3 linked regions of the Caenorhabditis elegans genome follow. The protein of the gene in region 3 purifies or fractionates together with the protein of the main gene of each other region. This does not show direct contact. Each region holds a gene or a part of one and is shown on either strand. Other genes may lie near its edges. The genes, in order: cku-70, faah-5 and clec-182.

Evidence for each region.
Region 1: the proteins of clec-182 (region 3) and cku-70 fractionate together in Caenorhabditis elegans (co-fractionation; one large-scale study listed by BioGRID). This does not show direct contact.
Region 2: the proteins of clec-182 (region 3) and faah-5 fractionate together in Caenorhabditis elegans (co-fractionation; one large-scale study listed by BioGRID). This does not show direct contact.

The regions. Positions count from the first base shown.
Region 1 is NC_003281.10:11,152,180-11,159,735, forward strand, and holds the start of cku-70 (Ku domain-containing protein), read left to right. Parts: upstream 1-2,647; coding exon 2,648-2,869; intron 2,870-2,922; coding exon 2,923-3,025; intron 3,026-4,429; coding exon of another isoform or gene 4,430-5,020; intron 5,021-6,036; coding exon 6,037-6,221; intron 6,222-7,012; coding exon 7,013-7,147; intron 7,148-7,556. Other genes in the region: pola-1 (DNA polymerase), read left to right, coding at 410-609, 1,617-1,765; Y47D3A.31 (BAR domain-containing protein), read right to left, coding at 4,430-5,020.
Region 2 is NC_003281.10:11,885,115-11,895,211, forward strand, and holds faah-5 (Amidase domain-containing protein), read right to left. Parts: upstream 6,322-10,097; coding exon 6,214-6,321; intron 5,478-6,213; coding exon 5,282-5,477; intron 5,229-5,281; coding exon 5,109-5,228; intron 4,076-5,108; coding exon 3,990-4,075; intron 3,938-3,989; coding exon 3,224-3,937; intron 2,221-3,223; coding exon 1,902-2,220; intron 1,791-1,901; coding exon 1,402-1,790; 3' UTR 1,371-1,401; downstream 1-1,370. Other genes in the region: Y56A3A.41 (RRM domain-containing protein), read right to left, coding at 7,058-7,394, 7,447-7,651, 7,831-7,858; tsen-2 (tRNA-intron lyase), read right to left, coding at 9,752-10,029.
Region 3 is NC_003282.8:8,794,671-8,801,261, forward strand, and holds clec-182 (C-type lectin domain-containing protein), read right to left. Parts: upstream 3,686-6,591; coding exon 3,436-3,685; intron 3,102-3,435; coding exon 2,633-3,101; intron 2,572-2,632; coding exon 2,389-2,571; intron 2,317-2,388; coding exon 2,211-2,316; downstream 1-2,210. Other genes in the region: exc-5 (DH domain-containing protein), read right to left, coding at 4,799-5,014, 5,067-5,150, 5,346-5,574, 5,627-5,700, 5,746-5,931, 5,989-6,228, 6,281-6,591.

The sequences.
Region 1 (7,556 bases), on a different chromosome or scaffold from region 3:
AAAGATTTCCGGCAAATTGGCCAATTGACGGAGTTCAAAATTTCTGGCAAATTGGAAAATTGCCGGAATTGAAAATTTTCGGCAAGTTGTCAAATTGCCGGAATTATAAATTTCCGGCAAACCAGCAAATTGCCGGAATTGGAAAGTTCCCTGCAAATCGGCAAATTGTCGGAATTAAAGATTTCCGGCAATTTGCCCAACGGCTATTGGCGCACACTTAATATTCTTGTAAAAATAGGAAAAATGGCAAAAATTTCCGAATTTTTTGAAAATCGAAACACAAAAAACCGCACACTGAAAAATATTAAACAATTTTTTTTTTCAAATCCCCATAAAATTTCTTTTTTTTAGAGGCAAAATTTAAAAAAAAATTCCGAATTTTTTCAAAAAATCGTAATTTTTGTTGCAGATGCGATGAGCCAACGTGTGAATTCAAAACTCGCGTACAAACGATGAAATGGTGTCGAGAAGGACTCGAATGTATTCGATGCTCAACTGGTGTGCTCCGTCGTGAATACACTTCAAAACAGCTTTTCGATCAGCAAATGTTCTTTCGAACAATTCTCGATGTCGACGCGGCTGTACGAAAGTTGAGCGACGCCCAGAAAAGTTCGTGTTTGCGAAATTTTATTGGAAAAAAATGGGAAAAATCCCTAGAAAATGGGAAATTTCGGCGAAATTCAGCCAAGAATCGTGAGAATTAGCGGAAAATCTCGAAAATAATGGAAACAAACCGAATTAGGAGAACATTTTTAACTATTTTTGCGTTAAAATCATTCAAAATTCGATTTAAAAAATGTGATTTTCTTTCAATTTTTTTTTTGGAAATCGGACTTTTAATGTAAACTTTTGGTGAATAATTGTAATTTCAAAAAAAAAAACGCAGAGTTCGGAGAAAAAGTTTACTTAAAAAATTTTATTTTCTATTTCAGCAGCTATTCAGCATTTTTTTTTTTCAAAAAAAAAATTACGGAGATAAAATTATTCGGCTTTTATAATTTTATTACTCAATCCCGAAATTTCACGATTTTTGCGCCCGGGTCTCGACACGACAAATTGTTGTTGAATGCGAAAAGGTGTGCGCCTTTAAAGAGTACTGTAGTTTCAAACGGAATTTTTTATCGATTTTGCGCATAGATTTTCACACGATTTGTTAAAATTTAAGCGGTTTATTTCAGTTTTTCTAATAAAAAGCATATTTTTTAACGAAAAACTGAAAAAAATTGGATGAAATTTGAGAAATTTTCATCCATTTTTTTCAGTTTTTCGTTAAACAAAAAAACTGAAATAAACCGCTTAAGTTTTAACAAATCGTGTGAAATTCTATGCGCAAAATCGATTAAAAAAATCCGTTTGAAACTACAGTACTCTTTAAAGGCGCACACTTTTTCGCATTCAACAACAATTTGTCGTATCGAGACCCGGTACCGTATTCTTTGAAAAGCTTGGCTCAAATAATTTTAAATCCGTAATTTTTTTTCAGTAAATTTTTTCTCCGATTTCTGAGTTTTTTTTTTCGTTGAAAATTACAATTTTTCACTAAAAATTAGCATTAAAAGTTCGATTTCCAGGAAATTTTGTACAATTTTTTCTTCAAAAAAGTTTTTTTTTTCCAGAAGCCGCCAAAGTCCGTGTCGAATATAATGGGTGCAAAATCGATTCAATGATGTTGGCTGATCGAATCAATGAGAAATATTTGGAGAAAAATGCCTATAATCGAGTGGATCTTTCATATATTTTTGCGCCAATGATGAAAATTCAATGAATTTATTTTCTTTTTTTTTTGAAAATTTCCCCCCAGTTTTGCGATTTTCCCGTCTTTTTTATGTCGAAATTTCTAATTTCCTAATTTTTTTCACAAGTCATTTCCTCCTCCTCCATTTTTCCATTTTCTCCTAATTTTCAGTGAAAAATTCTTTATTTTTCCCCAAAAAAATATTCCCGAAAATACTCAAATCATATCTGATAAACAATCGAATCCTGTGTTAATTCTCCCTTTTTTCACTGAATTTTTGGAGTTTTTCCATCTCTGAAAAAATTATTTCAATTTATTATAGTATTTGTGTCGACTTACGGGGAGAATTTGAACATTTTCGCTATTTTCAAATTTTCTATGCAAAGTAATTTATTTTATTGTAAAATTAAAATTTTTGAGCAAAAAATAACACTTCTCCTCGAGGAGTACACGAAGGCTGCTGCGTAAATCGACACAGGGGTTGTCGATTTACGAGGGATAATGTTTCGGAAACTGAAATTTTAGCCAAAAAAAAAGTCGAGATTTTGCAAAAAAATTGAACTCAAACTTGTCCACGTGTAGTTCAAAATCCGTCGTAAATCGACACATGCATAAAAACCGTGTGTCTATTTACGCAGCTGGTGTACTCCTCGAGGAGAAGTTTTTTTTTTTTAATTTTTCAGTCACGAGCTCCGTAAATCGACAAAATATGATATTTTTTTCTCGAAAAATTTGAAAAAAAAAACTTTCGAAATTTTCAAAACTTGAAAAATGTCAAATTTCAAAGTTTTTGAGAACAAAAATATTTTAATAAATATTTTTAAATTCAAAAAAAATTAATTTTTCGATTTTTTCAGTCAAAATTTGAATTTTTTTTCGAGAAAAGTTTGAAAAAAATCAATTTTTTTCCAGATGGACGAAACCCGCTTCGAGGATGACGATTTCGAGGGTTCAACGGCCAATAAAAAGTACACATTCTTCATAATTGACGGAAATCCGGCAATGTTCGAAACGTCGAAAGCCGGTGAGCCGCCAGAGTTCAAGCTTGCTCTGAAGCTCATTCTCGACGAAATAGTCCGTGTTTGCTGCTCGCGGAGCCTTAACAATCATATCGGAGTGATTGTCACTAGTACTGTACGAGTTTTTTCTGAAGAATTTCTGAAAATTTAATAATTTTTTAATTACAGAAAAACTCGGAGACCGAGGGACTCGAAAATAGCACTCTGCTTGTGCCGATGGGTGTTCTTGGACAGGAAGAAGTGAATAAGATTAAGGAAATTGCGGAGGAAGGTGCGGAAATCGCGGACAATTTCTGACATTTTCGTGGTTTTTTTTCTCGGCATTCGTCGTCTTTTGGCGACTTGGCACAATTTTCGCAGTGAATTAGGCAAACTTCTAATTTTTCAAAATCTCGACAAATTGGCAATTTCCAGTTAAATTTCGAGTAAAATCTACAATTTCAGAATATTATACGCAATCTGGCAATTTTTTGGCAAAAAATTGATTGTTCTTTTGACTTTTGGCAGAATTTCGGTAGATCACCACTTTTTTGAAAATTCGAACGATTTTTTTCCGGCAAATAGACAAATTGTCGGAATTGAAAATTTCTGGCAAATTGCCAAATTGCCGGACATGACAATTTCTGGCAAATTGCCAGAATTAAAAGTTTCTGGCAAATTGCCAGAATTGATTGAAAATTTACGGCAAATTGCCAAATTGCCGGAATTGAAAGTTTCCGGCAAACCGGCAAGTTGCCGGAAACTTTCATTTTTGGCAATTCGGCAACTTGCTGGAAATTAAATTTTCCGGCAATTCGGCAAACCGGCAAATTGTTGGAAATTAAAGTTTCCGGCAAATCGGCAAAATGCCGGAATTGAAAATTTCCGGCAAACCGGAAAATTGTCGGAAATTAAAGTTTCCGTCAACTCGGCAATCCGGCAAGTTGCCAGAAATGAAAATATCCGTCAATTCGGCAAACCGGCAACTTGCTAGAAATCAAAATTTCCGGCAAATTGCTGAAAATGAAATTTTCCGGCAAATCGGCAAGTTGCTAGAAATTAAAATTTGCGGCAATTCGGCAAACCGGCAAGTTGCCGGAAACGAAAATTTCCGTCACGGCAAACCGGCAAATTGCCAGAATTGAAAATTTACGGCAAAACTGCAAACCGGCAAGTTGCCAGAAATGAAAATTTCCGTCAATTCGGCAAACCGGCAAATTGCCAGAAATGAAAGTTCTCGTCAAAACGGCAAACCGGCAAGTTCCCATAAATGAAAATATACGGTAATTCGGTAAATCGGCAAATTGTCGGAATTTAGTTTCCGGTAAATCTGCAACTTGCCGGAATAAAAAATTTCCGGCAACAATTCGGCAAACCGGCACATTGTCGGAAATTAAAGTTTCCGGCAAACCGGCATTTCCGACAATTTGCCGAATTTGCCAAACGGCAATTGCCGTCCACCACTGCTTTCGACAAAACAATTTCCGGTATTTTTTTTTCAAGAAATTGGCAATTTTCGACGCCAGAACTTAGCTTTTCATAAAGAGCGGCCTGAAATCGTGTAGGCCACGCCGCCTAGAAAATTGGCAAAACAATATTTCATAATAACCTAATTTATTTTCAAAAAAAAAAAAGGTTTTTTTGTGAGATCTCTTCAATTTTCAATTTCTCATCCATCACCACCACCACCACCACCTCAATTCGGTTTCCTCATTCCGGCCTTTATCTCCCGCATCAATTCATCTTGCCACATGGAATGAGTCTCCTCAATTGTCTGAATACTTATCGCCAACTCACGCATCCGATCACAAGCCACCTCAAACTCACGAGTGGCATCATCAAACCGAGTCCGATTGACGTCAGTGTCGTTGCTGGCGTACTTGTTCGCAGCACTATCCATATCGAGACGTGTCTTATTCAAATTGGCAATTGTATTTGTGTGAAGCTTACTCTCGTTCTGTGTGAACGCCTTGTACCGCTCACAAATCGCCAGCACCTTATCCATCGACTCGACTTCTGCCTCCATCCGCGTGTCGACACAATTGATGAACGGTTGCACGTTGATACGATCTCCGAGCAGAGCATAGTTCTCCAGTGGGCCTGAAAAGTTGGCTTTCACTTGCCAATTTGCCACGTCGTTCAGATTTGCCATGTGCTTGTAGAGATCCTGGACGCGGGGCTTCAGAGATTTGAAGTAGATCAACGCCTCGTCGATTTCGGCGGGAAGCACTGTCGCCTTGCTTCTGCCCGTCTTTTCTTTCACTTTTTGCTTTAGTCGACTGAACATTGTTGAACAACTCACGCACACACCACCGAGTCGAAATTTAGGAATAAATTGAATTTTGAATTTTGTCCGCGGCGTTTTTTTTTTTTGCTGTTGGAATTTTGAAATTTCCAACGTGGAATTTTGGGATTTTCACGGAAAAAAATTTGATATTTGAGTTTTGTTCAAGTTTGAAAAAGTTAGAAAAGTTTCAATTCCGGCGATTTGCCGGTTTATCGGAAATTTGCAATTCCGGCAATTTGCCGGTTTTGTCGATATGCCGGAAATTTTCATTTCCGCCAATTTGCCGATTTGCCGGAAATTTTCTACTCCGGCAATTTGCCGGAAATGTTCAATTCCGCCCATTTGCCGGTTTGCCGGAAGTTTTTAATTCTGGCAATTTGCTGGTTTTCCGTAAATTTTCCGATTTGCCGGAAATTTTCTATTCCGGCAATTCGCTGGTTTGCCAAAAATTTTCAATTCCGCCAATTTGCCGATTTGCCGGAAGTTTTCAATTCCGACAATTTTCCGATTTGGCTGTAGATTCCATTTCGGCAATTTGCCGGTTTGCCGAAACTTTCAGTTCCGGCAATTTGCCGATTTGCCGGAAATTTTCTACTCCGGCAATTTGCCGGAAATGTTCAATTCCGGCAATTTGCCGGTTTGCCGGCAGTTTTCAATTCCGGAAATTTGCCGATTTATCGGAATTTTTAATTCCGCCCATTTGCCGGTTTGCCGGAAGTTTTTAATTCCGGCAAGTTGCCGAATTGCCGGAAAGAAATCGTTTGCCGCCCACGCCTGCAGTAGATTTCGAAATTTTCGGCAAGTTTATGCAACCGACGTTATTTTGGTTTTACCGGAAATTTGATATATTTGCAAAGTCACTAGACATATGCGATTCTCAGTGAAGGCTTTCCGACCAATAAGCGATCCGAGGTGGGCGTGACCAACATTGCTAATTGGTTGGCGGTCCCGATTTGAAGTGAAATTTCAATTTTCAGAAGTTTTCCGAAAAGAAAATAAATAATTTTTTGTTCCAGAAAACCTCCTCTCGGCAGTGAACAATTACGGCGGTGATCATCACAAATCCGACTTGTCAAATGTGCTTAACTACTGTAAACGAGTGTTTGCAAGTTGTTCGAATACACGTCATCAATCGGTCATTTATTTGACAAACAATCGGAATCCATTTGAACGTGACGATTTTTTGGAATCTTCGCATTTTGTTAGTGGATTTTTTGGCGGGTTTTCGTGGAAAAAACACATAAAATATCGTTAAAAAATACAAAAAAAGAAACTTTAAAAAATCATAATATCCATGGAAAATTAAATTTACTGACAAAATATATAAATTAGTGTTGTAGTCAAAAAAAATTCGGAAAACTATTGAGCACTTTTCCAATTTTTCCAACTGAAATGCAATCTTTCTTAGATATTATAGGAGCCCAAAATTCTGAGAATGCGTACTGTGCAACAGATTTGACGCGCAAAATGTAGCTATATCTCGTAGCGAAAACTACAGTAATTCTTTAAGTGACTACTGTATCGCTTGTGTCGATTTACGGAAATCATTTATCAATCGATAAAATATTAAAAGAAAACACAAAAATGACAATTTTCTTTAGATTTTCGTTTTTTTGTCACTTGTGTGTTTTTGTTTAATATGTTATTATCGATTAATAAATGTTTTCCGTAAATCGACACACAATCACTACAGTAGTCATTTAAAGAATTACTGTAGTTTTCGCTACGAGATATAGTTATGTTTTGCGCGTCAAATATGTTGCACAGTACGCATTCTCAGAATTTTGGGCTCCTATAATATCTAAGAAAGATTGCATTTCAGTTGGAAAAATTGAAAAAAAGTGCTCAAAAGATTTCGGAATTTTTTTTTGAATAAAACACTAATTTCTATATTTTGTAAATAAATTCAATTTTTCGTGAATTTTACGATTTTCGAGTAAATTTTAAGCGCTAAATTTTCAATTTTAAGCAAAATTATTTTTTTTTCTTCAGAAACGCACCAAAGCCGCGGTCACCAAAATTATCGGTGAGGGACATCGAAAGACGCTCGGTGAATTTTCGGTTATTATGTTGCCAGAGGATGGATATAAGCCACAGGATAAGGACGAGAAACGGAAGGAGCCATGGGTACTCTACTGTGCAGGAAAAATAAATCGATAAATTTTTAAATTTTTCCGAAAAAAAAAGTGTTTTCTTTTCGAAAAATCTAGCTTTTTTAAAGCGTGAAAATCATAATTTTTTGGTTTATTTTTTTTTCCTTTTTTCTATTAAAAAATTAATTTTTTGAGGAAAAGTCTTCAAAAATAAATTTTAAAAATCGATTTTTGAATAAAACAGATGTTAAAACTAAACCAAAATTATTTTTTCCCCGGTTTTTCGAATAAAAAGGGTTTTAAAATATATTTTTTTGTTTTAATTAAAAAGGTTTTTTTTTCATCCGAAACCCCGGGAAAAAATTTAAAAAAAAACGGAGATTTAACGGATTTCCGAATTTTTAAATAATTATCGCTTTTACGATTCCTCTGAAAATTGATAC
Region 2 (10,097 bases), on a different chromosome or scaffold from region 3:
GGAGGGATGGTGTTTCACATAGCGACGCGCTCCCTCTTAGCGCCGCTCTGTCCGAAAAAACTTTGAGGCTCTTGGAGCACTCCTCCGTTTGGTCCAGACGTGGTTTTGAATTTAGGTGTTGATGGGTATTGGCCCCGTTTCCGGGGGACTCCTGGCCCGCGTTGAGGGTCCCATCTGTACCAGGAGGGGGTAGTCCCTCATAACATCCCTAGCTGCAAGTCATATCTATGAAATTTCTGGTAAGCCAGGGGTACTTTGGCACTTATCAAGTTAACTCAATTAAGATTAAATTTTTTAACATTAAAATTTAATTTAAGGGATAGTAGCGCCAGTGGGGAAATTGTTAAAAACCACTCATTTGGTCCCAAAATGACCAAATATCATAATAAAACTTTCCAAAACACTGTCAAAAAGTGACAATTACTCAGTTTTTGCCACTCATAATTTTGGAAGTCGACCAAAAAAATTGTTTTTTTTTCGACATTTTTTATGTCTTAATTTTTTAAAAATTATTTGTATTAAAACATGCGACATTTCTTTAAATTTCCTCAAAATCTCGTATTTTTCAAAATTTTGGCAATTCGCTAATGCTTTGGCAGGAAACTATAAAAAATCTAAAAATTTTTAGGAGTGTTTTATTATGATATTCGGTTGTTTTGGATTATTATAAGTGCATTTAGACAAAATCCCCACTGGCGCTACTTCACCTTTAAATTTAAGCATTTTCAAACAAACAGTTACCTTTGGTGGTTAAACCAATTAATTTGTAAAGAACATTTTCGTGATATTTTCATTTGTTTGAACTACATAAATTAATACTTTAACAAGCTTGTTGTCAGGCCCATTATGGCAGTTTTATTGGGTTTCAAAGATTTATTGCCTTAAAATGGGGTACTTTGTCATATCAGTTAGCATATTTTTAAAAAAACTGGAAAAAAATCGTGGAAATACACCATTAATATGTCGTAGTTCGACTGATCTACTATAAAATATAACTATTCCTGCTGAATATTCGTATTTTCAACCATTTTCTGAAGCGCAAGTCTTTAATTTCTACGTATAGGCCAGAACAAGCGGGCTCCGCGGAGTTTCAACATGAAATCTGAAAAAGAAACCTTGAATAATAGGAATTGTATACTATTTTACTCGCATTTTTAACGATTATAGTTTATTTCACCCTAAAATGACAGGTTAATATGTACGTCAAGGTGTCTCATTTCGACTTGATCTACGTTGATCTACAAAAAATGCAGCAGAGTTCACGACTGATTTCGCATGATTAAGAACGTGCTGACGTCACATTTTTTGGGCGAAAAATTCCCGCATTTTTTGTAGATCAAATCGTAATGGGACAGCATGGCACCACGTGGGTTATAAGAGGAAATACGAAGCAATTAAATATTATTTCTTTGGAGCAATCTTCTTCTCGAATCTCTCAAAACACTCGAAACTATCCCCATTCGTCCAAATCGTCTGATTCTCCGACTTCCACCTCAACACCTGAACTCCTTCACTGATCTCCTCAACGATTCTCATCACTTTCAAACACATTTCCTCTTGATTCGGAAGTGCTACGATTTGAACAGAATTTGGCATTCCACTCGTCTCTTTTATTGCTGCTGCCTGAAGTTTTAGCACAAAATCCCCGTTTGTCTCGAATTTATCGTTTTCTTTTTCACGGACTGGAGCTACTGGGACAACGGCGGACGGGCAGTCGAGCATGTTGAATAGACCAGTTATGAAGGCTCCAGTTGTAAGAAGGACCGGATATTTGAATGGTTGGGCAGGGGCTGAAAATTTAACGAATCTAGCAGGTTCCTCGCCGTTTGATCTCCAGAAAATCCGTAATTTTTGAGATCAAACTGCTAGGAACGTTCTCTGCATTCACTTTAAATACTTACTGATAAACGAGGGACAAATCAACGCATCGATGCCTAATCCCTTCCAATATCGAATCCACTTCATTTTGTACGAATCCGTTTTCTCCTGATTCTGCCGAACACACGCCGGATCCGAATTGTACGCCTTGCCAAGACACAGCACCTGTTTTGATTTGAGCGGAGTGTATTGGGCGAGTGGAAGTAAGACGTGTTGGGCGAGCCAACGAATCACGAATACTTGTTTGTAACGGACGAGCCGAATGAAGTGGGACATGTAGCGATCGTATGGCTCGCTGCCGTACATTTCAGACATGTACTCTCCGTTGTCAGGCATCACGTTCTGGGGAATGAGCTGTTGGAAGGTTATAGGCTTTTGGCTTTTGACTCATGTGCTGAACAGCAATTCGCCAATTTCGGAAATTTTCATTTTGGGCAAATTGCCGATTTGCCGTTTGCCGAACATCAATTTGCCGGAAATTATTAGAGGGATTTTTTATTATTATTTAGGAGCATTCATAGGATGCATAAAGTTTTGCAGATTAAGATTGAAATTGTGAAACTTCCAGAAAAAACTCCGCAAATCGGCAAAATGCTGGAATTGGAAATTTCCGGCAAATCGGCAAATCGGGAAATTTGCCTATTTGCCGGAAAAAACGCAAAACCACAATTTGCCAATAAATTTTCGGCAATTGCCTTTTTTTCGGCATATTCACAAATCGGGAAATTTCGCCAATTTGCCGGAAATTTTCAATTCCGGCAATTTGCCGATTTGCCGGAAATATCCAATTTCGGCAATTTGCCGATTTGCCGGAAAATTTTCAATTCTGGCAATTTGCCGATTTGCCGGAAATTTCCAATTCTGGCAATTTGCCGATTGGCCGGAAATTTCCGATTCCGGCAATTTGCCAATTTGCCGAAAATTTTCAATTTTGCCGATTTGCCGGAAATTTTCAATTCCGGCAATTTGCCCGATTTGCCGGAAACGCTCAGTTCCGGAAATTTGCCAATTTGCCTATTTGCTGGAAATTTTCAATTCCGACAATGCGCCGGTTGCGGATTTGCCGGAAATTTTCATTTTGGGCAAATTGCCGATTTGCCGTTTGCCGGATATTAATTTGCCGGAACTAGAGAAGAAATTCCGCCACATCGGCAAACCGGCAAATCGGTAAATTTTCCGATTTTCAATTCCAACAATTTGCCGATTTGCCGGAAAAAATCGTTTGCCGCTCACCCCGGCGTTCGGCAAAAAAAGACTCAAGCTGAAATCAAGACTAAAACTTCTGATACCGGGAGTCGGGCCAGTAAACCGGCAGACTATTGACTATCATAACTTCATAACTTACTCTGAATAACATATCGGCCACAGCGTGTGAATGAAACTTTGTATCAATATCATTCACTTTAAATTCCTTAACTTCATAACCCAATTCCTTCAGCTTCCCAATAGTTTCCTCAACTGCTCGCTGATTCGATGGAGACACTGAACAGAATCCATCATCTACAAACCATCCTATAACCGGCTTCCGCTTATCATCCGAACTAGTGTCTAATAACGGGGACAATGAAGAATACGGTGACATTTGTTGATATTCCGGCTTCCCAATGACCAGCCTCAACAGGTATTCCTGATCTTCCACATTTCGAGTAAAGAATCCACAGCTGTAACCAAGCCGTCCACGTCCAGGAAGCCCGGGGTGCATCTCACTCTCGTGAAGTCGATCTTGAGTAGGCTTCAACGACACCAGCCCGCAAAATGCTGCAGGGATCCGAAGACTTCCCACCAGATCGTTGCCAATTCCAAATACAGTACCACCGGCTGCAAGTAGAGCAGCCTCTCCACCAGACGATCCACCAGGAGTACGAGAAAAGTCCCACGGGTTCTTGGTAGTTCCATAGACTGGATTAGAAGTGATATAGGATAAAAGTCCCTGTGGAAGGTTTGTCAAGCAGAAAGGGATGGCTCCTTGATTCTTGAGAAATTTGACGAGCGAGCACGTGGTGGTCTCCCGTTGCTCGAGAAGGCTTGCCAGTCCGACGGTAGCCTCGTAGCCAGTCACCTAGAATATAAGCTAGGTTGCTAAGATCTTAAAACAAGTTAGAATCCCTCACATAGAAATTGCTCTTCACAGAAAACGGAATTCCAAATAGCGGGGGTTTCGGTTGCTCACGATATTCATCGTCAAGTCTTGCAGCATCTGAAACACGAATTTAAATTCTTTATTACCTTTTGACCTCCAAAAATTGCGTCAGACAAATGTGTCTAAGTTTCCCGCAATTTTTGGAGGTCAAATGGCAAGGGGTCCTCAGCGTCGAAAGCGCATAAAGTTGCTGGCGCATTTGGCGCGACTTTGAAAAATCCAGATTTTTCTTCTAATTTTGACTTATAGCACGTAACGTGATGCCAGGCTTACGGTTTGATCTACAAAAAATGCGGGAATTTTTTCGCCTAAAAAAATGTGACGTCGGCACGTTCTTAACCATGCGAAATCAGTGGAGAACTCTGCCGCATTTTTTGTAGATCAACGTAGATCAAACCGAAAAGAGACATTCTGACACCACGTGGCACGTGGAGTCAGAGAGTTCCATTTCGCTTTGATCTACGGAAAATGCGATGCGGGAACTGAGAGGTAGGCATCTCAACTGGTTTCGCATGGTTAAGAGTGTGCTGACGTCACATTTTTTCTGGTAGAAAATTCCCGCATTTTTTGTAGATCAAACCGCAATGAGACTTTCTGAAACCACGTGTTATAGCAAATGTGTTCGCAAGTTTAGAACTACAATTCTGTGCATCTAAAATTTTCTGAGAATGCGTAACATACCTGACGAGCAAAATATCTCGTAGCGAAAACTGCAGTAATTCTTTAAATGGCTACTGTAGAGCTTTAGAGCTTGTGTCGATTTACGGGTCGATAAGTGGTCTACACAAGCGCTACTGTAGCCAATTAAAGGATTACTGTAGTTTTCGCTACGAGATATGTTGCGCGTCAAATATGTTGTGCAATACGCATTCTAAGAATTATGTGTTCCCCGTGATCACGTGGTTCCAGGCTGCCCACTTGCTGTTTGATCTACAAAAAATGCGGGATTTTTTGCCCAAAAAAATGTGACGTCAGCACGTTCTTAACCATACGAAATCAGTTGAGAACTCTGCCGCATTTTTTGTAGATCAACGTAGATCACGCCAAAATAAGACACTCTAGCACCACGTTGAAACTATTTGCTTCATACCTGTAAAAGCTTCCTTAATAACTTCAGTGATGCAATTGATCTTCCGATTTATCTTTATTGCTCTCCAGACATACGCACTCAGCACTGTGTAAGCGTTGAACTTTTCGGATTGAAGCGCCTCTTAAAAAATTGGGAATTGGGCTTTAAAGTTTAAATTTCCCCTTACAAGTTACCTCTCAAAGTGGGAAAATCCATAGCAAGTACTGTCTGAAACGTTTTCTCAATCTCATCAGCATTCTCTTTCGATCCATTAATCCGTTCACTGTGCAAAAGTTTCGATGGAAGAGTTCTGTTCTCAAAGTCCGTGAATGCGTCGGCTTGGCGGACACGGAAGTTTCGGATTTTACGATTTCGCGATGGTTTTCGGCACTAAAAGTATAATGTTTAACGGCAAAATCGGAATTTCCAAAGCGAAGCTCGCCTAAAGGTCAGGCAGGTAGGCGCACGTGGTGCCAGAGTGTCTCATTTCGGCTTGATCTACGTAGATCTACAAAAAATGCGGCAGAGTTCTCAACTGATTTTGCATGATTAAGAACGTGCTGACGTCAAATTTTTCTGGGCAAAAAATCCAGCTTTTTTGTAGATCAAACCGTAATGGGGCAGCGGTTTAACTTTTGCCATTATTTTCGAAAGTGTCAATAATTTACGTGTCGAAAATGGATTTTCTACATTATTTCAAAAGAAACATCGTGAAAACCTACAGAAAAGCACATTTTAAAAACAAAAAAAATAAGGGAATCGTTTAAATTTCCAGTTGCGATTTTACAAAGGAATTCTCTCAGTTTTTCCGTAAAAAATGAAATAATTAAGCATTTTTATGCTTGTACCACAATTCAACTTGCGCGTCAAATATGGTGCAACCAACTCAATGCATCACATTTTACGCGCAAGTTTAAAAAACCACAGAACAGCACGTGGTGCCAGGCTGTCCCATCACGGTTTGATCTACAAAAAATGCGGGAATTTTTCGCCTAAAAAACAGTGACGTCAGCACGTTCTTAACCATGCTAAATCAGTTGAGTAGCCTGTGTCTCGATTCCCGCATTTTTTGTAGATCACAACGAAATGGGACATTCTGACATCACAAAACAGTCGATACGCTCACCTTTTCCAAAAGAACTTTTGGAATTGCATACATAATAAGAAATGGAATACTTGCTAGATAAAATATGAATACTAAAAACCCGACGAACACTTTTGCAAGGCAACTCATCACTTTTTCAGTCAGAGTTTTTTTTTCCGGAAAAACAGCAGATTATATATTATAGATGGGGGATTTATTATGAATGGGGAACTAATGTGTTATTCGAGTGGGCAATTGTAGGTACGATTTTGTGTTAATTCCTTGGAAATGGGAAGAGAGATTCGGTTCCTTGTGAGAAAATATGTAGGAGAATATGAGGCTAGATTAATAATTTATTAGTCAAAACAATGACAGCAATAACAGTTCTCTGTGCATAAAATTTCAGTGATGGGTCCTGACACATTTTAGCTACCGTGCCCTTATTTCCTTGCGAAATGGTCTCGCCACGATCTCTGTTATCCGCCACACCACGATATTACACAGTTGCGCAATTTCAGACAGGTATTATGGGAGCGCAAAAATTCTGAGAATACGTACTGCACAACATATTTGACGCGCAAAATATCTAGTAGCGAAAAGAAAACTACAGTAATCCTTTAAATGACTACTGTTGTGACGATTTACGGGCAGCAATTAAAATTTGAGCAAAAATAAAAAGAAAATTCATTTCAAAAATCGAGCCCGTAAATCGACACTACAGTAGTCATTTAAAGGATTACTGTAGTTTTATTTTCGCTACTAGATATTTTGCGCGTCAAATATGTTGTGCAGTACGTATTCTCAGAATATTGCGTTTCCGTAATATTTTGAGTTGAAGCAGTTTATGCGTCTTTAAGTACTGAAAACTGTAGTTTTTTGTGAGAAATTATTTTAATTCGAATTTATTTAAGCAAAGTTTAGCAAAAATAAGCGAAATTCCGGCAAAAAAAATTATTGACTTTTGGAATTTTTTCTCGCTAAAGGGTTTCACAATTGCGATCAGCTTACGCCCATCCCATTCGAATTCATTGGCATTTTCAGCGAAATCAGCCGCACTGTGGTGGTCGTCGAAAGTGAGCTTGGCCGTAAGGCATGGAGACTTTACGGTGCTCATACAAATGCCAAAAAACTTGCCCAATCCCACGCATTGAGGGAACAACTTGGGGAATGACACATCTTCGGGAATGTTTCCGAGAATGATTGTGGCAGCTCCATCTGACTTTCTGAAAAAAAAACAATGAAATGCCTCTAATTTTTTGTAGAAATTAGACTTACTCGTTGCCAAATTTCGCAATGAGTAGAAGCGCGTGTGCGTGACCAACACATTTTCCGATTTTCACAAATTCTTCGCGATTCTTTTTATACTTATCCACATCCATCTTCAATTCATCGAGAACAAACAAGATTTCATTTTTAATGAAATCGACGGGAGACCAATCACGAGCTAGAGCCTTTTCGAGAAGCTCCGAGTAAGCTGCCACTGAAATAAACAGTTTGTATAAAATAATTGCTCCGCAGGCTAAATATTCTTTGCTTAAAGAATATTAGGCCTGTGGAACAAGTGTGAGATCAATTTGAGGATGATTTTCTTTGCTTAAAATTATAAAATGACTGATAGCATCTCAAATTCAAAAGTTTTGTCGATTTTATTTGACTTACATTTAATCTTATCCTCCATTTTGGACATGGAAAATGAAGAAAATTAGGACGAGAATAGAAAATTTTAATGAGAATTGATTGATGAAATTTTCGTTGCGAGACCTTTTCATTTTTTGCAAACGCGCTCCACTGGACGCTGGACGCTGCAAACGCGCTCCGCTGGAATTTAAGCGCCGAACATCGATTTTTTAAACATTTTATCGATGTTTTGCTATTTTAACTGGTGAAAATTGTTGAAAATACTTGAAGAAAGGCGAGAAAAATGTGGTTTTTGAATTTGGTGCAAAAATAATCTCAAAATTTACATAGTAATCATCATAATTTTAGCAATTAATACTTCCCGGTTTTGTTTTATATGAAAATATCGTTAAAGTCAAGCAAAAATGCATTATCTTATCGAAAAAGAATAAAAGAAACACTAAAATTATATTAAATTCAGATACAAAAAATATAAACTACGCATTGAACGAAATGAAGCAGGTTGAAGCTGCACTAAGGAACGGCAATTTTCAGTGTAAACTAGTGGCGATGGATATACATTTTATGTACTTAAATTGTTCAAAACCCTTCATACAGTCTCTTGATGAAGTTTCAGAAAATTTGTGGATCTATTTTTTTGAATAAATTTCAAATTTGTGGCAATTACACCTATTTTACGTGAATTTCCGGTCTAAATTGAAAAATTCAATATGAACTTGTGACAGTAGGTATGAATTTTTGTATATAATTTGTTTTTAATAGTCTACCGTATGAAGTAGTGAAATTTCAGAAAATTTGTGGATCTAGTTTTTGAAAAATGTGCCAGTTTTGACGCATAAACCTAATAATTGCCTTATAAATCAAATTTCCAACATTAGTTAGGAAAATAACCGTTTTTAAATGTCTTTTAGTCATTTTAAAAACAATTTGTGTGTATTTTTGTAATTTTGATCCATTTTAATGTCTCATTCATCGATTTCATTTCATTCATTCTATATTTTTTATTTAGCGCGCTTAGCCACGGCCATGGCTAAGGCCATTCTCATTTTTCCCTATGCCAGATGTACCAATTTACACGCCGTGGCTGTGCAGTACGCATTCTCAGAATTTTGTGTTTCCGTAATATTTTGAGTTGAAGCAGTTTATGCGTCTTTAAGTACTGAAAACTGTAGTTTTTTGTGAGAAATTATTTTAATTCGAATTTATTTAAGCAAAGTTTAGCAAAAATAAGCGAAATTCCGGCAAAAAAATTTTTTTACTTTTGGAATTTTTTCTCACTAAAAATAGCTTTTTTTCGAAAAACAATTGAAAAAATTTGGTCAAAATTTCACAAAGTTTAAAATTACAGTACCCTTTGACAAAAACTTGTCGTGGCGAGACCGGTTACCGTAACTTTTACGCCAAAAATTCGAAATTTTCGCGGGTAATAAAGAAAAACGAATAAAAATTGCGATATAAAAAGGCGTGGAAACTAATGTACTATTTAAAGGCTCACACGTGGTGTCAAATGTGTCCCATTTCGGTGTGATCTACTAAAAATGCGGGAGAAGAGACGCACAGTTTTCAACTGATTTCGCATGGTTAAGAACGTGCTGACGTCACATTTTTCTCCGCAAAAAAAATTCCCGCATTTTTTGTAGATCAAACTTTTATGGGACAACCTGACACCACGTGCATGGGAAAAAACGATAAAAAAATTCCAAATTACAGTACCTCTTTAAAGGCGCGCACACCTTTCCACATTTCACAAAAAATTTTCGTGGTGAGACCAGTTACCGTAACTTTGGCGCGAAAATGTCGAAATTTTATGAGAAAACGAGGCGCATACTCTCTCTTTCAATTGGCAATATTCGATGGTAATAGAAACAAAAAGTTTATTGAAAAAACAAACGGGTACAGTATCTGAATCGTGTCAGGACCCAAAATCGCAAAAAATCAACAATTAATCGACTGTATTCAGCTCGTACACCTCGTTACACCGATTCGACATTTGTGCGACATCTCTCTCCAGAAAATAGGTCTTCATTGTAGAAATCTTCACATCAACCGCATTCGCATCCTCAAAACATTCAACTTCTGATGTTGTAGTAGCCACTATCAATGCTTTTTTATTGTGTGACAAGATTCGCGTGAGAGTTAGAAGCCGGCGAGGATCGATGACGTCAGCGATGAGAACTCCCGCCGAAGAATGATAGAACTCGGCGCCAAGGCAGTAGATCACTGGAAAAGTTGGCATTTTCAGTTTGCAGTGGAGCGGCGCAATTGCTCTTTTATATTTGAAAAAACTC
Region 3 (6,591 bases):
TTTGTGCCTATTTGAAGAATTCAGGTGAGAACGGGGAAGTCAGAAAAGCCGTTTTTCCAGTACACTTTATCGTGTCTTCTAACAGTCTTCTAACTTGTTTCAGTGGGACCGAACACCAATTACTTTCAAAAAAGATTAAAAATCTTATAGAACCGAGCAACCTTTTTGGATTGAGATACTTTGAGAAGTTGCTCCTATAAGAAGTTGAACCTAGGCATCAGATCCTTAGAATACTCTTGTAATGCTTATTACACAACACATATACACACACACGCCCCCTTTTGACAAATTGGATGTCTTCAGAAGGAAGCACGAGGCACAGAGAGGGCGAACAACTAGAAACAATGTGGGAGGGACGGGGGGACGGGGACGGGCATGAAGAAAACGACGACGGGGTGAGGACGAGAAGAAAATAGAGAAGGCAGCGAAAAAAAGTGCGAAGCGACTAGTGTCTCGGGGGCAAGAGACACAAGTGAATGATATGAGATGGAGGAGTTAGAGAAAAGAAAGGAGCGAACATCAAACGGACGGACGGGACGGGACGCCGCTCCTCTTCTTCTCGCTCCGTCGTCGTTGTCGTCGTTGTCTCGGGGTGGTCACGAGAAGGCGGGCGGGAAGGAGAGGGCAAAATTGAGCAGCATAGAAGACGAAGAGGCGCAGAATCTCCCCCCCCCCCCCCTCACAAGTCGACCACGAAGAACAACATGTTCGAAACGAAAAAAAAAAGAAAAAGAATGGGAAGAAGAAGGAAAGACATGATGATGATAAGGAATTCGATACGTGTGTGTGTGCGGGGACAAGGGACAGGGACGTGTGTGTAATAAGGAAAATTGGTTAGTGCGAACGAGAGCGGTGTGGCGCCGAGATAAGGGCTATTGGTGGTTTAGAGGCGCTGTGTCATCCGATTATCACAGTTTAGAAAGGATATCAAAAACAAAAAGTTAGGAATATCCGGATGCGATAAGTCAGGTGCTTGATATGAGAACAGGATACCGAAAGCTCAGTCCCACAAAATGGATAACTTTTAACTTGGAAATTAATATTGAAATCTATAGCAAGTGATGATGTTAGTGGAAAACAAGGTATATAAGTGTAAAAAATAAACAATTGTTTCTAATTGCCAAAGAATTTTGATTAGCCAATATTAGCAACTACCGATCTCAAAACTTGAAACACCAAGTTCTTCATTTTGTTTTACCTCGTTTAGTGATGTTATTCCGATATATCGCGATAGTACGTACAATTGTGTTGTGCATTCATTTTTCCATTATTGTGCTCTAAAAATTTTGCGGTTTTCCGTTAGTGAAGCAATGAAATTCACCGAAAACATTTATCATGATTCAGTGTTGCACCTCCAGTAGCATTAGAAGCCATACCGTATTTCCATAATACAGAAATAACTCAACGAGCCCAAATTGGCATACATTATGATAACTAGGATTAAAACATATTTACTTTTTCCTTCAGATTTGAGATTGAGACATTTACATAATTGGATCTGATATGGATTTCTATCATTGAAACTTCCTCGATCTTCACGAAACCCAAAAAGTATACCACCTTCACATTCTCTCGATTTCTCCCATGCACTTCTCCAGTTTCGTTCTTCTTCATCTTCTATTTTCTTCTTCGTTCCTTATCCTTTGCCTCCCTTCTTCCTCTTCTTCTCATAAAAGAACACCGTGAGTAGGGGAGCAGGGAGCAGCAGTAGAAGCAGCAGAAAGAGCATCAAAGGAGAGAGTCGAAAAATGAATTTATTGGCTGGTCGGAAGAGTGCATGTGCATGTCTGTGCAGCCAGATATATTCTGAAGAAAAGAACAACTTAGAAGAAAAAGAAGAAGAAGGAAAGAAGGATGAAGATGATGATGAGAAATGTGTGCGTGTGTCACCGGTACTCTTCATGCTCAACGGAACAAATTGCTGGCACTGATGATGATGATGCTTGCGGGAAAGGGCATAAGAGAACCATGATTAACTTGTAATAGGCCTTACTAGGTCTTACTTTAGAACTTTAGTAATAAGCCTTACTTTAGTAGGGTCTCTATAGTTTCTGAAAAAACTAAATAGTTCTTAATCACCATATTTTGATACCACTATGGATTCCTAAAATATTCATTTTACAAACACTAAACAGCGGATACTACGCTAAAAAGTAGAAAATAGACAGATACATAATCAAGGAAATATGTGCACATGTCTCATACAATTCTTAAAATTTTACAATGCAGCTGTGAGCATCGCAGTGCCCAGTCTTTGCAGTTCCACCAAGATATACTTGTTTACCCTCTGTCAAATAGTCTCCACTCGAGCAACCACTGAAAGTAAAAAAGTTAAGTATTTGAATACTTTTTCAATAAAGAAGAAGACCAAATCAATATATTTCTTACTCATTTTTATAAGCATCCACAAGTGAAAATTGGTGATCTTTCAAATAAGGCTTAACATCCTCGAACTCTTGCTCAATTGCCGTGATGGGGAAACTTTCCACATTAAGAATGTTTCCAACTCCCTTACATGCATCCTTCAGTTCTTGAGTATTGTACATTTCTTTTCCTTGCAATTGAGTGATTCTGAATATGGCTTTCGTTATGAAATTTGATGGAGCAAATTCGAAATATGTAGAAAACCCACGTGTAATAACTTTGCGTTGGAATGATAGCACCATGTTTGTACACATGTATCGGATAAATTTCAGAGTATCGATGTGCCAAATAGTACATCTCAGCCATGGTCATCGGTGGAGTGTACTCACATATCACTTGATGCTCCGAATTTTGATCAAACATCATGATGGAACCAACACGTTCATCGTGCCTGTACGCTGCATCTTGTACATAGACAGCTGCGTGGCCTTTCCCATTTTCGTAATAATCTTCAAGATTTGGCACTGACACCCAGGCTTTTCGGATGTTTTCAATCTCCATTAGAAACAGATGCATATTTCTCGCAAAGAAATTTGCTACTTTTGGAGACAATTCAGGTCCGACTGATTGCTTCGAACAAGTGTCTTCAGCTTCTTTATACGTGAACTTTCCATCATACACTTTGTAGCATTTCCCGAGAATTTGCCAATAATCGGGTTCACATGCAACCGTAACCACTAAAGATGAAAGGTTTTGAAATGGAAATGGGTATTGATTATTTAATCAGTTTTCACTTTGTAAGGCTGTGAATGAGGAAAATGTTCTCACTTGAATGAGAAACGAGTCTCATCATAATAAAAAGAAAAGTAAAGACTCGAGAGAACGATCGTTTCTCACATTTTGAGTCTTTTCCAAAAAATTAGACGACTTCCTATTAGCCCTAGTTTCTAACCAAGAATATGAGCTCTTACAAAACAAAATCCCATTTCTTCACTTCTTTTTTTTTTGGAATTTGACTTCATGATGCGCAACAGTTCTAAATGTTAAAGCAAAAATTACAAGAACACGCACGGAATGTACATCTAGTTGAAGCTCCGCCTGGTCGATGTCCAGTGATGTAAAACGGTAATTTACTATTGCAATAATCTTTTGCCTCTTTTTCGTCCGCAACCCATCCAGGAATCTTAACCGTGCAAGTGTATCCTCTATCCGGGTAATCTTTCTCTGCTTCATGAATTGTTCCATCAAACATCCAACAAGTCTTAATCGAGCTCAGATCAATTGTTTTTTCGTAGATATTTTGAAAGTTTTCAAACGTCATACTGACTGAAACTGCAGGAGCTACTATGTGTGAAAAGAGCACCAAGAAAAGCTGAAAACAAAAATTCTTGTAAAGAAAAGCAAAATATGAAAGTTTCAGACAGAGGATCTTTGCCTAGTTACCGCTTGATAATATATTTATTACTGACCATTGACTGCATTTTGAACTGTGTATAGTTTCAATTCTACTCTTAAACTAATCGCAATCGATTCTCTATTGCGAACAGCTTGCTAATAAATTATGAATTTAAATGGGAAAATTATCATTTTATAAGGAGTTGATCTTGATAAAAAAAATTACGTGAAATCATCAATTACAAAAAAACAAAAAATTACACGCTACTTTTGAAAATAAAAAAAGAAATGTTTTCGTCAAATTTTGAATCAGAAGTATGTGAATATGTGAACTGGTTGTTAGTTATTTTTACGAAAAGCCGAGAGCACGGTAGAATTTTTGAGTATTTTTGCTTAAATTCCATGTTTAATGTTTTAAAACAAAAAGGCTTTAAACAGGGTTCATGACATTTGCAATCCAATGACATTGTCAGTTCAAAAATTCTATCAGAAAATGCTGAAACTGTAAAACTATGGAAGCACTAAAAACCGCGTTTAGTGTTTTTAGTTGTATATCATTTCTCTTTTGAGATTTAAAATTTAACATTACATAATTTTCGATGACCTAAATTGTGTTGACATTCATAAAAAAAAGCCAAACACAGTCCAAATAATTTAAAATTAGTGTTATAGTTTATTAAATGTTCAAAAAAAATTAATAAAACTCGTGGAGAAGGAGAAGGTAGTAAAAGAGACAATTTGGTCATTTCAAGGTCAGAAAATATTCAGATTGCAGGAGTTCAAAATTTCAGATTCTACGATGACTAGAATTCGAGAACAGATATGTGTTCAGGCGGAACGCACTTGCGTACGATTTTAGTAGTGAGTGAGAGAAGAGGGATGAGATGAGATGAACGTATTTAAAAAATATAATCAGTTCGGAAAATTTGGATACAGTTTCAACGAACGAATAATAAGAATTGAGAGAAAAACAAGAATAGAACACTGAAATAACTAAGAAAATAAACATATGTCTTGGCTGGGTGCCAAAAAAGAATCATCATTCAGATTGCTCGGATCCAGAATTCCGTTGATTCTTCAGATGTGCGTTTGCGGCTAAATCCAAAATCGCCAACCATTTCATTTGGGTTTGTTCGTCTTCAGCGGTCATTGTGTACATTCGACGGGCTCCGACTCGAACCGAAAATGTGAATTTTTCTCCACACATCTTTACTTCACATCCTGGAAGTGGCAGCATAGCCAAGGCACATATATCCTAAAAATATGATAATACAACAAATTGCAGAAATGACTGATCAAAAACATACCTCTTCTGATGAATAAGTGTACATACAGAAATCGTCTCGAACAACCATAAATCGATCTAACAATTTCCCCAAAGATCCACGGAACTGAAATATTATCGGATGAGTAACAAATAATTAAAAAAAACAAGATTATCAATAATTTCACTAGATAATAGCAGTTATGAAAGATTTGTTGGAGCTCTGGTTTTTGGCGAAGGTGCTAGAATTAGGTCAAGTTTATTTTAAAAAATCTATTCTATTAATTAGCTGAAATCTATTTAAAACTGTTCTAAGTCTTACCCTAATCTGGCTTGAATGCAATACTCCTGAACCCTTAGCTGGTAGTTGAAGAAGATTCCTTCGCATATTACTTTGAGTTGAAAAGCTTCTTGGAATTCCATCTAGATCCATATTTTTGGTGCATGTATCACATATTCTGTGCTTTTTCGACTCATTTCTGCGACGACCAAAACATTTTTTACAGAGACGACGACTGCATTTGACACATTTCGAACCCCGTGATAGGAACCTGACAAATTAGAAAAATAATTAAAGTTAGAAATGTTGAACTTTAAACTTACCCAAATTCAATATCACAATCAGCGCAGTGTTTCGATTCAATTGAATTATTGTTGTTTTCGCTTATAGAACTTCTCTGAAATTAAACTCATAATTTATTGTCCTACATAATAAAACTAACCGAGCTTGAAGTAAAAGTTAGACTGTGAGCTTTAGCTTCATCTATGATTGAGAAAATCGAATCAACCCAATCATTTTTCTCTTTTTGTGTTGGAGTGAACAGTTCAACACATCTCTTTGGACCAGTTCCATCGGATCCTCTTAGGTAAAATGAGTGCTCACGCTCCAAATTATCTCCTTCACAAACCTGTAAATTTAATGTTAATAAAATATTGGAATTTCGGCACTTTCTTGTTACACTAACCTGCATATGAGAAGCACTGAAAACTGCTCTCAACTTGTACTTGGAGACTCCAATCATCTTTCGTTCACTCGCCAAAATTACTAAATCATTAAACAAGAATATGAATCGTTCCTCGGTTTTCTCAGTTGTCGATGAGATTTTTTGAACTGATCCAGATTTGAGAAGTTCGCGTCCTGGGGATACTAGAGATATTGAGTTGCCTAGCTGTTCCTGAACTTCAATCACTTTCCCAAATCGATCCTGAAAACAAAATAACCTTATAGGCCTATACTTATTCCAAAATGTTATTTACCAATTTTTTCATCATTTCATTTGCATGTGCAGCTGCTTGTAATACCAATTCCAAAGCTACCGTAGTATCATCAAAATCAACATCACTCGGTTGAAGATGTTTCTTATATTCTTGTAATAATAATTGATATCTCATTACTCTCTGTACTGGACAAATTAAATGATGTCCAAGTGGAAGACCTTCACACTCTGCTTGCTTTTCAATTTCCTTAACTACATCTGCAAACTTTTTCTTCTTTTTCAGTTCTTCAAATAGTTTCGTGGCTCTATCGTAGTTATTCGTGTATTCTGAATACATTTTGAGGAACGGAG